2 linked regions of the Sus scrofa genome follow. The protein of the gene in region 1 purifies or fractionates together with the protein of each later gene. This does not show direct contact. Links are inferred from orthologs where the notes say so. Each region holds a gene or a part of one and is shown on either strand. Other genes may lie near its edges.

Region 1 (2,918 bases):
CCACAGGGGAACTCCACAAATGTCGCCAAGTTTTTTAATGGTTTTATTCTGAAGGAAAAATTAGGTAGACTTTTTGGGAAAATCTTCGGGACAGTGTTTTTCCTTTGGGTAGTCCCCAGTTCTCATACCTAAAACATTCTTGAAAATGGTCAAAAGTCCTAAAGTTGTTAGATTATTTGCAGAGTAAGGAATTTTATAAAATTCTCCATCAGGCCTATGCTGCCTGACAGAATGAGAGTGTTCAGTGTCACTGGCACCCTCTAACCACCCAGTACCCTGTACCTATCCCATCCCCTTTTACAGGAAGCACAGGTTCTGGCTGGGGCCCAAGACTGTAGTCTCATTCTTCACCAGATCTTCCCCTTCCCATGGGCCCACTGCCTTTCCTTGACCCTGGGCAGGGACTATGGCAGTTGGTAAACCTGAGTCCTCAGTTGCAGTGGGTGGCTAGAACACAAAAAGGCAAGGGGATCCATGTTTAGCTTACTGGAACATAAGCCGATTGGGACCTCTGCCCGCTGTCCCCACTCACAAGCACATGGCCATCTGCCACCTGCAGTTTGCTGCTCCTCACACTTCCCTACCCCCTCCCCTAATGGGAGTTTGTGATGTGAGGAGAGGAGGTGGCAAGGAACAGTTGAACAAGAAGCAGTCTCATATCCATGGGCGAGATCCAGCCTCACTTTACCCTTCTGGCCACATTGTAGCATTCTGCTCTGGCTCACAGGTAACTACCTACAAGTACACTTCAACCCCAGTCTCTCTAGAAACCCAGCTCTTTTCCCAGGCTGCGTAGGGCTGTGTAATGCATGAAGGTACAGGTGTTATTAAAAATGAATGTGTGGGGAGTTCCCGTTGTGGCTTATCAGGTTATGTACCTGACTAGCATCCATGAGCATGTGGATTTGATCCTTGGCCTCGCTCAGTAGATTAAAGATCCGGTGTTGCCATGAGGTGTGGTGTAGGTCACAGATGAAGCTCAGATCCTGCGTGGCTGTGGTGTAGGTTGGCAGCTGCAGCTCCAATCTGACCCCTAGCCTGGGAACTCCACAGGTATGGCCCAAAAAGAAAAAAAAAAAAGAATGTATGAAAGTTGGGAGTTTTGTGTTTTAAAAAAGCAGTGAATCTGCTAAGAAAAGTGGAAGAAACTATGCTAACTCCTTATATTGGGGTACAGCCTTTCTGGCCATAAAAGATGGTGGTTGGCTGTTTTCTTGTGTATCATTTATAATTTTGCTGTCTTGGTAGGGGCTTCTCTCCCACACTACCTTCCTGATAGATACAAAATCAGTTTTATTTTTATGGATTTGAAAAACCTTAGTAGAATATTACCCAGAAACAGTTGTTACCTACATTAATATTGTTTGGTCTTTAAGGATTGGAACTAAAAAAAAATTTTTTTAGGGCCACACCTGTGGCACATGGAAGTTCTCAGGCTAGTAGTCGAATTGGAGCTGTAGCCGCCGGCCTGCACCACAGCCACAGCAACGTGGGATCTGAGCCATGTCTGCGACCTACCCCACAGCTTATGGCAATGCTAGATCCTTGACCCTGAGTGAGGTGAGGCCAGGGATCAAACCCGCATCCTCATGGATTCTAGTCCCGTTCGTTAACCACTGAGCCATGATGGAAGCTCCTCACGTTAGTGTTCTTGATAGAAGTTTAACCTGAACTATTTTACTTAAAACAAAAATTACCTAATTTGAGAAATTACAGGCTTATCCAACATACCTGTCTATAATGTCTATTTCCTCTGATGGTTTTCAGGTAAATGTGTATCTTAATTAAATCTGTTTCAACTCTGTAGGGGGAACACACCTGAAACTAGAGGAACAGCTTATGTGGTCTATGAAGACATATTTGATGCCAAGAATGCATGTGATCACCTGTCAGGATTCAATGTTTGTAACAGATACCTCGTGGTCTTGTACTATAATGCCAACAGGGTAAGTATATCCATGGTTCTCATCATGTGGGGAGAGCCCATGAGAGAGGTAGTGGAAAATTGTACCATTAGGGGAGATGTGTACTTGAGTTCTTTTCTAGCTGGCACTATTGGTGAAATTCATTTGACTGTAGATTGATAACTGTTAACTTTGGTGCTTACCACATTTTCAGGCATTTCAGAAGATGGACACAAAGAAGAAGGAAGAACAGTTGAAGCTTCTCAAGGAAAAATATGGCATTAACACAGATCCACCAAAGTAAACATCTTCTGCATTTTCATTTTGGACTAAAACACATTAATGGCCATCAGCACCCTTTTTTGTTTTTAGTTAATATTGAAAATTGTGATTTCATACTTGAGACTCAAAAAGCCTGCTTACAATTTTGATGTATATCAGAATATATTACATTAATAAACCTGTAGCTTTTTATAAAACATGTCAGTATGTTCTCTTGAAATTTCCCCTATTGTATTATACCAGGAAAACGAAACAAAACAAAACAGCAGTTAAACCATATCAAGAATTGTTTGGGAGTTCCCTGGTGGCTCAGCTGGTTTAGGGATCCAGCATTGTCACTGCCATGGCACGGGTACGATCCCTGGCCCTGAGACTTCTACATGCCAAAAGAGTTGTTTGGTGGTAGGTGGACCTAGAGACAGAGCTTATTGAGGACAGGGACCTCTTGATACTCTATGCCTCCAGTATCCAGTCTAGTGCTTAGCCATCAAAGGAACTTGTTAGAGGATTATTATTTATTGAATGTCTATTAATAATGAAATTCCTTAACACCTCTGTGATGGTAGGTATCTCAGTTTTGCAGAAAAGGAAACCAAAGCTTGTCATATTGAATAAAAATGAATGCATTAAAAGTTGCTCTTGGGGGGACCACACCTGGGGCATGCATAAATTCTTGGGCCAGGGATCAAATCCATGCCACAGCAGCATCCCAAGCCACTGGGTGACAACACT
Region 2 (2,668 bases), on another chromosome or scaffold:
TTTTACCACTAAAATTTTTTAATAAAAATTATATATATTTAAGAGGTGCAACATGATTTGATATACATATACACAATAAAATGGTACCACAAACTAATTAACATATTCACCTCCTCACAATTTTTAGTATTGATACAGTATTAACTATAGTTAACTATAGAGCTCTAAACTTACTAGTCCTATCTAACCGTAACTTTATACCAGAATAAAGATACTTTAAAGTTATCTTTCTCCCAGTAAAGAATTTATTTGGCCGTCATACAGGTTTTTTTAATCCATTCATCAGATGTTTTTTGAGAAACAATCTCTGCGAGGCTCTGTGGCTAGCATAACAGAAGCATATGATACAAGACATCATCTCTTTTTCATTAATATTTTTAAAAATATTACTATTTGAATTTATTGAACTTCGCATTTTGGGGTTTTCTTTGTGGATTTCATGCTACAAATAGATCAAGTAGATAGATGTCTCACCCTCAAAAAAAAAAAAAGACATCATCAAAAAAGTAGTTTTTCTCAAGTAGTTTGTATTCGTGTGGGGAAGTTCTTAAACCAAAAACTGGATATAAAGTGATAATAACAAAGAGATGTACAGGATGAAAAGAATTTACATCTGTCTGGAGTAGCCAAAGTCAATTTCAGGGAGATACTTTCGAGCTGACTTAAAAGGGAGAAGTGTTTGCCAGGGGAACAAAAGCATTCCACGCAGATGGAACAGCTCGTACAGAGAACTGGAGAGAGCAGCACGGGAACGTTTGAGAAGTAGAGGCTGAGGGCCTGTAGGTGGGGTGAAACTTGTTGGGAGGATGTCAAAATTAGAAGCTCAAAAGGAGGAGCCTGTTGTGGGGGCCTGAATGTGTCGGAACTGGTGCTGTACTTAGGTCACTAGGCGGGAAACGGCGGCCCCGCAAGCGATGAAAGAAGTTTCCACACAACTTGTAAGAGACATGGCTGGGGTCAGACCTTGAGTTTCCTGACTTCAGGGTGATCCACCCCTGGTTGTGAAACGGCTACTGTACCCTCTGTAGCTCCGAAAGCGGAATTGCACAAAGAGCTCCTTTCCCCAGTTGCTTACAGCCTTGTACTACTTGTTTCCCACTTCCTCTCGGCCCCCCATCCGCCCGAGGATGCTTCCTGCCTCCCAAACACCGCAGTCCATTCAGTCTCTCAAACCCACACACAGAGGTCCCAAGAAGTCTCTGCGAACCAACCCTCGGAAACCACAAGTCCCAGCATGCAAAGCTCCTGTTAGAAAAGGGCCGCTAGATGGACCAGCATGCAACGCTCTGCGAAGGAGGCGGGGCTCTCTATAGGGAAGGCCCACTGGTAGCGTTGCCGAGGCAACTCCAATTCCGTGACAGAATACACTTCCGCCTGGGAGGCCGGGGACCGCGAGTCGCGCTGCTTTGTCGCTGTGACGCCATCCACCTGCGGCCGCGCGTGTACAGAGGTTCCGGCGGGTGGCTCCTCTCCGGCTTGAAACCTTAGAGCGGCTTCTTCTCGTCTGCGGCTTCTGACCTGCGAGCAAAGGAAAAAGCAACGAGATGACAGACCGCTACACCATCCACAGCCAGTTAGAGCATCTGCAGTCCAAATACATCGGCACCGGCCACGCCGACACCACCAAATGGGAGTGGCTGGTGAACCAGCACCGCGACTCCTATTGCTCCTACATGGGCCACTTCGACCTTCTCAACTACTTCGCCATTGCCGAGAATGAGAGCAAAGCGCGAGTCCGCTTCAACTTGATGGAGAAGATGCTGCAGCCTTGCGGCCCGCCCGCCGACAAACCGGAGGAGAACTGAGACCTCACCGTCTCACCGCTGTACGTGAGCACCTCTCTGCGTTCCTCCGGTTTGTCGTCATTCCCGCGGGTTCCTCTCCCAAGTGGACGGATTCTTCATAGCTCTGCTTTTCGTGCTTTCTTTGTACAGAGGTCCTTACCCGGGGCGTTCCGTCCGACCTGCCTTCCTGTGGAACAAAGTGTTGGGAGACCCGTCATAACCCCTGAGAAACTGAACAGTGGAGAGATCCTAAAGTCTGCAGACGTTAGAGGAGATATGGCTGGAGTGAGATGGGATTAAGAGGCTCGTTTTTGGCTAGTTGACTGTCTTCGTTGCTTTTTCTATAAAGTTTAGAAATGTTTCGGTCTCTTGGTGTGGACTACTTGTGTTCTGGTGGAGGGGCCAAGGAGGGCTCTGGGACTGTGGTTTGCCGGGTGGCGGGGGGTATAAAGAAGGGAAGGGTTGGGGAGGGGTTCAACAGTAGCACAGGGCCAAAGTTCGTTGCCAGACACTTAAATACGCTCTTTATAATATTCTCCAACCCTGACTTCTCCCAGGAACTTTTCTCAGGCCCTTAACACATTCACTATTGAGGTTTGTGATCACTGTGTCCTTTTTCTTTCATACAAAAAAAAAAAATCTTGACTCGCTTTGCCTTCTCTCTGTAGATTACACCTCTTTCTTTTGGAAATACGTGGACATATCTTGAGTATTGACAAACTGTCAAATTAGTTCTTAAATTCATTCAGCAAATACGTGTTGAATTTTATGTGGCAGGCTTTAAGGACCTATATTACACTGGTTGGGGGAGCAGAAGACCACAAAATTTGCAGACATAAGCAAGCACATGTTGGAGGGTGCTGTGGAGAATGAGAGTAGCAGTA

What was found. Proteins that work in one complex are often made in the same cells at the same time.
Region 2: the proteins of SF3B6 (region 1) and SF3B5 fractionate together in Homo sapiens (co-fractionation; 5 studies listed by BioGRID and IntAct, with this or other methods). This does not show direct contact. The link is inferred for Sus scrofa from reciprocal best matches to the Homo sapiens genes SF3B6 and SF3B5.

The regions. Positions count from the first base shown.
Region 1 is NC_010445.4:114,615,739-114,618,656, forward strand, and holds the end of SF3B6 (splicing factor 3B subunit 6), read left to right. Parts: intron 1-1,807; coding exon 1,808-1,946; intron 1,947-2,118; coding exon 2,119-2,208; 3' UTR 2,209-2,385; downstream 2,386-2,918.
Region 2 is NC_010443.5:21,229,864-21,232,531, forward strand, and holds SF3B5 (splicing factor 3B subunit 5), read left to right. Parts: upstream 1-1,400; 5' UTR 1,401-1,544; coding exon 1,545-1,805; 3' UTR 1,806-1,825; intron 1,826-1,934; 3' UTR 1,935-2,151; downstream 2,152-2,668. UniProt on the Homo sapiens protein: Component of the 17S U2 SnRNP complex of the spliceosome, a large ribonucleoprotein complex that removes introns from transcribed pre-mRNAs.